2 linked regions of the Macaca mulatta genome follow. The protein of the gene in region 1 binds, or shares a complex with, the protein of each later gene. Links are inferred from orthologs where the notes say so. Each region holds a gene or a part of one and is shown on either strand. Other genes may lie near its edges. The genes, in order: CKB and ASB9.

The links.
Region 2: the proteins of CKB (region 1) and ASB9 are in contact, whole or in part, in a cryo-EM structure (PDB 6V9H), measured with the Homo sapiens proteins. The link is inferred for Macaca mulatta from reciprocal best matches to the Homo sapiens genes CKB and ASB9. Residues at the interface, in NP_001814.2 of Homo sapiens: Asn63, Pro64, Gly65, His66, Pro67, Tyr68, Ile69, Thr71, Arg130, Arg132, His191, Val198, Ser199, Pro200, Leu201, Leu202, Leu226, Trp228, Glu232, Ile238, Met240, Asn286, Arg292, Gly303, Lys304, His305, Glu306, Lys319, Arg320, Gly321; in NP_001026909.1 of Homo sapiens: Leu25, Asn27, Pro28, Leu29, Met30, Gly31, Asp32, Ala33, Val34, Ser35, Asp36, Trp37, Pro39, Glu42, Ile45, His46, Trp60, Ala67, Asp68, His69, Glu75, Ala100, Asp101, Trp102, Val111, Asp133, Leu134, Ser165, His166.

What each region holds. Positions count from the first base shown.
Region 1 is NC_133412.1:176,941,559-176,945,459, reverse strand, and holds the start of CKB (creatine kinase B-type), read left to right. Parts: upstream 1-873; 5' UTR 874-922; intron 923-1,212; 5' UTR 1,213-1,224; coding exon 1,225-1,417; intron 1,418-1,540; coding exon 1,541-1,695; coding exon of another isoform or gene 1,696-1,767; coding exon 1,768-1,900; intron 1,901-2,283; coding exon 2,284-2,455; intron 2,456-3,182; coding exon 3,183-3,306; intron 3,307-3,460; coding exon 3,461-3,650; intron 3,651-3,731; coding exon 3,732-3,901. UniProt on the Homo sapiens protein: Reversibly catalyzes the transfer of phosphate between ATP and various phosphogens (e.g. creatine phosphate).
Region 2 is NC_133426.1:14,924,365-14,928,265, forward strand, and holds the start of ASB9 (ankyrin repeat and SOCS box protein 9), read right to left. Parts: upstream 2,900-3,901; 5' UTR 2,715-2,899; intron 2,701-2,714; exon of another isoform or gene 2,596-2,700; 5' UTR 2,462-2,595; coding exon 2,368-2,461; intron 1-2,367. UniProt on the Homo sapiens protein: Substrate-recognition component of a cullin-5-RING E3 ubiquitin-protein ligase complex (ECS complex, also named CRL5 complex), which mediates the ubiquitination and subsequent proteasomal degradation of target proteins.

The sequences.
Region 1 (3,901 bases):
TCACTGCTTAATTTGCATGACTCTAGTTATTCGTGAGATTTTTTTTTCTTCTTCTTCTTTAAATCGCATTTATGCTTATTGTTTATTAGCGTTTCCTCCCATCCTTGCCAGAAGTCTCTGGGGACTGCCTTTGGGGGTCGGGTGAGCTTGTCCCCTGCGAAGAGGGCCCAGGGTTGGGGTCTGGAAACTCCAAGGCTGCACTTGCCAGCGGCCTCTTAAGACCACAGTGTCCGCGTGGTTTCTGGCTCGCATTCCCCAGAGCCCCAGGACTTGTCCAAGGTCAGGGCACCGCGGGTGCCCCCGGGCTGGGCCGCAGCCAGACTGCGCCTCCCGCGCGCCTTCGCTTTGCACCAAGATCGCCCAGGAGATGCCTGCGGGCACCTTGAGGAAGATCGGCGGCTCCGGGCCAGCTCGCACTGGCCGGGGGTGGGGTGGGGGCAGTACCTGCTGCGGAAGCCCTGAACGCTTTCGCCCGGCCCCTCGCCGCCGCCGCGGGGGCTGGCTGGACTAGGCGGGCAGGCTGGAGGATGCGGATGAACCCGAGCGTCCTCGAGTGCCCAGAGGCTCTCCGCCTCAGTTTCCCGCTCGGAGGCAAGGGCGTGCGAGGGGATCCAGATATTCAAGGATCTGAGGTTTCGGCCTCGAGGTCTTGGGCGGGGGACTGGGCAGGCTGCGCGGGGTCCCAGCGGGGAGACGGCTCGGGTGGGCGGCCGGGGGTGTCAGGGGCTGCGGGCGGCGGACAAAGCGGCGGCACCACCCCGCGGCGCGGGCCAATGGAATGAATGGGCTATAAATAGCCGCCAATGGGCGGCCCTCGTTGCGTCCCTTAAGAGCCGCGGGAGCGCGGAGCAGCCGCTGTTCGCCTGCGTCGCTCCGGGAGCTGCCGACGGACGGAGCGCCCCCGCCCCCGCCCGGCCGCCCGGTGAGTGGGCCCGGGGGCCGGGGGCGTCGGCGCCGGGGCTAGGGGCGCTGCGTGCAAAGGGGGCGCGGGCGCTGCGGCGTCACGCGCTCCGGGCGCGTTGCCTGGAGCGCGCGCCGGACCGGCCGGGGGTCCCGGGCGATGATGGCGCTCCCCCGTGCGCGCTGCGGACCCCTCTGACCTTGGCCGCGTCCCGGGGGCGCCGAGGGGCCCGGCGGCGGGGGCCTGAGTGGTACGCGGGAGTCCGGGAACCCCGGCTTGCCGGTCCCTGCTGACCCCGCGTCTCCCCGCAGCCCGCCGCCGCCATGCCCTTCTCCAACAGCCACAACGCGCTGAAGCTGCGCTTCCCCGCCGAGGACGAGTTCCCGGACCTGAGCGCCCACAACAACCACATGGCCAAGGTGCTGACCCCCGAGCTGTACGCGGAGCTGCGCGCCAAGAGCACGCCGAGCGGCTTCACGCTGGACGACGTCATCCAGACAGGCGTGGACAACCCGGGTACGCGACCCCTCGGGGCCGGGGTCCCGGCGCCCCCTCCCCGCGCGCAGCCGCACGGTCCTCAGCAGCGCGCTCGGGCCCGGCAGTGACGTCACTGTCTCCGTCCCGCGCCCCCTCCCCTAGGCCACCCGTACATCATGACCGTGGGCTGCGTGGCGGGCGACGAGGAATCCTACGACGTGTTCAAGGATCTCTTCGACCCCATCATCGAGGACCGGCACGGCGGCTACAAGCCCAGCGATGAGCACAAGACCGACCTCAACCCCGACAACCTGCAGGTGCGGGGCGGCGGGCGGGCCGGGCGGGCCGGGCCGGGGTCTCCGGGCGCTCACTCCCGTCTCGCCCCCCAGGGCGGCGACGACCTGGACCCCAACTACGTGCTGAGCTCGCGGGTGCGCACGGGCCGCAGCATCCGCGGCTTCTGCCTGCCCCCGCACTGCAGCCGCGGGGAGCGCCGCGCCATCGAGAAGCTCGCGGTGGAAGGTAGGGGCCGGGAGGGCCAAGGGTCGGCGGCGGCTGCGTGCCCCTCCCGGCGCGGTCCCCGCCCGCTTTTGTTTATGTCGCCTGGGAGCGGCAGCCGCCGCCGCGCTCTTATCTGCGCGCCCCTGGGTTCAGTTTCCCGGAGGGACCGAGGGACGGAGGCCCAGCCCCGCGCCCACAGCGGCCTGGGGCCCAGGGAGGGCGGGTCCTGGCGCGGGGTCACCGACTGGGACCGTCGCCCGGGCCATGAGGACTGGACGCCCGCAAGTCTGGGCGGGTGGGGGCCTCTGACGTCCCCCGGGGTGAAGCACGGGGGCGGGCGGGTCCGCGCTGTGGGCTGGAGGGGCGGGCGCGGCAGCCGAGCGTCCTGAGCGCACGCCCCGCAGCCCTGTCCAGCCTGGACGGCGACCTGGCGGGCCGGTACTACGCGCTCAAGAGCATGACGGAGGCGGAGCAGCAGCAGCTCATCGACGACCACTTCCTCTTCGACAAGCCCGTGTCACCTCTGCTGCTGGCCTCGGGCATGGCCCGCGACTGGCCCGACGCCCGCGGTATCTGGTGCGTGTCCCTCTGCGCCCTCTCGCGGCGTCCGCCCTCTCCGCCGCCTCCCCTTTCCCTCTCGCCCCCCTCGCCGGGGTGGGGCCCCTCGCGGCAGGGAGGAGAAGGAGGAGAGGAGGAGGAGGAGAGGGAAGAGAGGAGGAGGAGGAGAGGGAGGAGGAGGAGGAGGAGGAGGAGGAGGAGGAGGAGGAGGGAGGGGCCGGCCGCGCTCCGGGTCTGGGTTACGTGCTGCGCCTCCCGCGCAGGTGACCTTGGCCGAGCAGGTGCGTTAAGGTACTGGGCCCAGGCCCCTGGGGGTTCAGGACTCAGCCCCTCTAGAGACGTGAGGTGGGGGCGGGGCCCCTGGCGCCTCTGCCCGACGCCCCTCGGGAGCTGGAGCTCCTTGTTTTCTCACTCCTCAGTCGCTGGGATTCTACCAGGGGCTGGTGACGCAGAAGCTTCTCCGGGGGCAGGGCTCCTACCCCCACTGTGGGGGGCGGGCGGGGCTGTCCTGGCGGTCCCTGGCCCTGCCCCACCTCAGACCACTGCACGACGTGATGGCAGCCGGGGTTCTGCTCACTGTGAGGCGTCTCGGCCCCGCCTGCCCCGTGTTGGGCGGAGTCTTGGCAGCAGCCCCTGCTCCAGGGCACGGTTGCGAGCAGCACCTCGGGGACTTGGGAAGTTCCTTTGGTCTGGGGACGGCCTGGGGCTTTTTTCTGGATATGCCCTGAGACCAGCCCTCCCGCAGGCACAATGACAATAAGACCTTCCTGGTGTGGGTCAACGAGGAGGATCACCTGCGGGTCATCTCCATGCAGAAGGGGGGCAACATGAAGGAGGTGTTCACCCGCTTCTGCACCGGCCTCACCCAGGTGCCAGGGACGGGGCAGGCCCAGACCCCAGGGCTCCAGCAGGGATGTGGGTGCCCCATCAGTCCCCCTGGGGGATTTCTGGGACTTGGGAGTCTCAGGGCCTGTGGGGGTCTCGGGCAGGCCTTCTCCCTCATACCCTTTTCTCCGTCTGCAGATTGAAACTCTCTTCAAGTCTAAGAACTATGAGTTCATGTGGAACCCTCACCTGGGCTACATCCTCACCTGCCCATCCAACCTGGGCACAGGGCTGCGGGCAGGAGTGCACATCAAGCTGCCCCACCTGGGCAAGCATGAGAAGTTCTCGGAGGTGCTTAAGCGGCTACGACTTCAGAAGCGAGGCACAGGTGAGCAGGGCGGGTGCTGCAGGCTTCCTGTTGGCCTTTGGACAGCCCTGTTTCCTCCGCCCTGACCTGCTGTCTCCCCAGGCGGTGTGGACACGGCTGCAGTGGGCGGGGTCTTCGACGTCTCCAACGCTGACCGCCTGGGCTTCTCGGAGGTGGAGCTGGTGCAGATGGTGGTGGACGGAGTGAAGCTGCTCATCGAGATGGAGCAGCGGCTGGAGCAGGGCCAGGCCATCGACGACCTCATGCCTGCC
Region 2 (3,901 bases), on another chromosome or scaffold:
TGTTTTATTTCTTCCATTTTTACCCTTTCAGTACCTGCATAGTAGATTAATAAACCCTGACTGACGGCTGGGCACGGTGGCTCACGCCTGTAATCCTAGCACTTTGGGAGGCCCAGGCGGAGGTCAGGAGTTCGAGACCAGCCTGGCCAACGTGGCGAAACCCCATCTCTACTAAAAATACAAAAATTAGCCAGGCGTGGTGGCGGGCACCTATAATCCCAGCTACTCGGGAAGCTGAGGCAGGAGAATCGCTTGAACCCGGGAGGCGGAGGTTGCAGTGAGCCGAGATCCCGCCATTGCACTCCAGCCCGTGCGACAGAGTGAGACTCCGTCTCAAAAAAACCAAAACAGGCCGGGCACAGTGGCTCACGCCTGTAATCCCAGCACTTTGGGAGGCCGAGGCCGGTGGATCACGAGGTCAGGAGATCCAGACCATCCTGGCTAACACGGTGAAAACCCGTCTCTACTAAAAACACACAAAACATTAGCCTGGCGTGGTGGCGGGCACCTGTAGTCCCAGCTACTCGGGAGGCTGAGGCAGGAGAATGGCGTGAACCCGGGAGGTGGAGCTGGCAGTGAGCCGAGATCGCGCCCCTGCACTCCAGCCTGGGCGACAGAGCGAGACTCCGTCTCAAAAAAAAAAAACAAAAACAAAAACCCTGACTGACTTCAGGGTCTCTCCCTGTTTACTGCCCCTTTAATCAGCAGGTGCTGTGGGCAGTATACCAGGTGTGTGTGTGTGTGTGTATATATATTTACACACTTTTTTTTTTTTTGAGATGGAGTCTCGTTCTGTGGCTCAGGCTGGAGTGCAGCGGTACGATCTTGGCTCACTGCAAGCTCCACCTCAGCCTCCCGAGTAGCTGGGACTACAGGCGCCCACTACCACGCCCGGCTAATTTTTTTGTTATTTTTTGGTAGAGACGGGGTTTCACCGTGTTAGCCAGGATGGTCTCGATCTCCTGACCTCGTGATCCGCCTGCCTTGGCCTCTCAAAGTGCTGGGATTACAGGCGTGAGCCACCGCGCCCGGCCTGTTTTGGTTTTTTTGAGACGGAGTCTCACTCTGTCGCACGGACTGGAGTGCAATGGCGGGATCTCGGCTCACTGCAACCTCCGCCTCCCGGGTTCAAGCGATTCTCTTGCCTCAGCCTCCCGAGTAGGTGGGATTACAGGTACGTGTAATCCCAGCTAATTTTTGTATTTTAGGTAGCAACGGGGTTTCACCATGTTGGCCAGGATGGTATCATGACCTCGCGATCCGCCTGCCTCGGCCTCCCAAAGTGCTGGGATTTCAGGTGTAAACCACCGTGCTCCGCCTATATAAGCCTGAACCCAGGAGACGAAGGTTGCAGTGAGTCAAGATTGCGCCACTGCACTCCAGCCCGGGCAACAGAGCAGGACTCCGTCTTAAAAAAAAATTAATAAATAATAAATACATCAATTCAGCAAGGCTGTGGCAACACCAGCTTTCCCAGCCCTGGGTGCTGGGGCTTGTCACCATAACAAGCCCCCAAGGATCTCAACAGGGTGAACAACAGTTGCAGAAAGTGAGCTGTTTCCTTCACCCTCACCCTGCTCCCTTTGCTCTCCAAAAGTTACGAACTTTGAGTCTCCTTCCTGATAAACTCCAAGGCTTCCTCACTGACTGGTCTCAGTTTGGGAAAGGATGTGGCATCAACTTTGCAGACTTGGGGCTGGAGAGTTAACCAGTATATTACTAACCAATACACTATTATTTATAAAAACCTGTGTGCAAATGCCTAAACAAATTTTTCTGAATCCTTTTAGCCAACAAGCACCTGCTGAATGCTCACCAAAATGTGTATTTGTGGCATTCTGTACGTTAGCACAGACACCACCTGACAGATGAGAATACCTGTAAGATGATTCTCCAATGTTTAAGTAAAACAAAGTCTCTTTTGTCTCTTTTGAAAGTGACTCAATCAGTGCTCAATGTTTGAACATCATTTATAAACCCTGCCCCGCCTAAATACCAAACACCTAAGACTTGCAAATTAAGAAAAAAGTTTTAGCATTAAAAATTTTCCTGTTTGTAAGTAACTTTCAAACCTCTAATGTAATAAATAATGCATCTGACCCACAAAGAATGATTCCTGGGAGCTGAAATTTTCACTGGAGAATAATTTGGGACAACTGAATTTGTGTTGTATGTAGGATTCTGCAGAAAGAAGTGTACACATTTTTGAACAGCTGTGTAAAGGATATATATCAGCGACCTGTGGGCATCTGCCCAGTAACAGACCCATGGACACCTCACACAGAGCCACTGAAACTGCCCAACCCTCCTCTCCTAAGCACATTAGCCAACCTCCCCAGGGCTGATTCCACTGCCCCTATGACTCACCACTCATCAATGGGTTTGAAAGAAGCCTGATGTCAGGAGAGTCTCTTGGCCCCGCGGGCTTGCTCCCATCCATGTCCCCTTGTTTGCCATCCATGATGCTCTCTCCTAAGTGAGCAAGCTCTGCGCTCCACTTCAGTTGCTCAGCAAAGTCCAAACTCCATGCTCCCCCGCTCCTGAAAAATTCCAGTTCTGTGGCTGGCTGAGCTGCACACGTCCTGGTCAAATGGTCTGCAGCAAAGAACAGAGCAGGCAGGGTAATCTGAGTGCTACCTGTGGTCAGAGAGGCACACGCTCGTGTACACACACACACACACACACACACACACACACACACACACACGCTTTACCTAACTGGCTGGAGGCCCGCCAGAGGCCACAAGAACCCTCCAGCCCTAAGTCTGCGAAGTTGCTGATGTCACGTCCTTTTCCAAACTGAGACCAATCAGTGAGGAAGCCTTGGAGTTTATCAGGAAGGAAACTCACAGTTTGTAACTTTTGAGAGTGAAGGGAGCAGGGTGGGGATGAAGGAAACAGCTCACTTTTTGCAACTGTTGTTCACCCTGCTGAGATCTGTTTGTTACATGGTAGCTTGTTATGGAGACAAGCCCGAGCACCCAGAGCTGAGAAAGCTGGTTTTGCAGCAGCCCTGCTGAATTGCTTGCACAGTAACATGCACAGCACGCCCTGGCCATCTGCACATGTGCTTTCAATTGTGCTGGGAGTTTCTTATGGGAAAATGTGTCTATATGTTACAAAAAATGTACCTTTGGAAAGAACCATTTTGTTCCTTTCGGTTGCAAGAACTTCACTAAATGTCCTACCTCACCTTTCCTCCACTCATTTTATTTTAACTAAGTAAATAATGAACGGTTGCAATTGGAAAAATGGATTGCTAGGTGGCCTGGGATGTGGAGGAGACCCGCTATCTTTCCATTGTGAATTACTACAACTTATTTTGTTAACGTTTTGCTGTTTTTGCTTATACAAAACATTTGGGGCCGGGCGTGGTGGCTCATGCCTGTAATCCCAGCACTTTGGGAGGCCAAGGTGGGCGGATCACGAAGTAAGGAGTTTGAGACCAGTCTGGCTAACATAGTGAAACCCCGTCTCTACTAAAAATACAAAAAAATTAGCTGGGCGTGGTGGCAGGCGCCTGTAATCCCAGCTACTCGGGAGGCTGAGGCAGGAGAATCGCTTGAACCCAGGAGGCAAAGGTTGCAGTGAGCTGAGATCACGCCACTGCACTTCAGCCCAGGTGACGATGCGAGACTCCAGCCCAGGCGAATGCGAGACTCCAGCCCAGGCGATAGTGCAAGACTCCACCTCAAAAAAAAAAAAAAAAAAAAAAAAAAAAAATTTGGATGCTCTGTGTCCATGTCTTTTCAGATAAGCCCAGTTGCCTCACACCCTGGGTGCTACTTCAGGCTGACAGGCACCTCTAGGCTCCCACCGTTCCTCTCTTCCAGGCGGAAGAGGATTTTTCATCCCCATGGGGGAAGGCTCTGAGTTAAGTCTCAAGCATAGACTGGCTGTG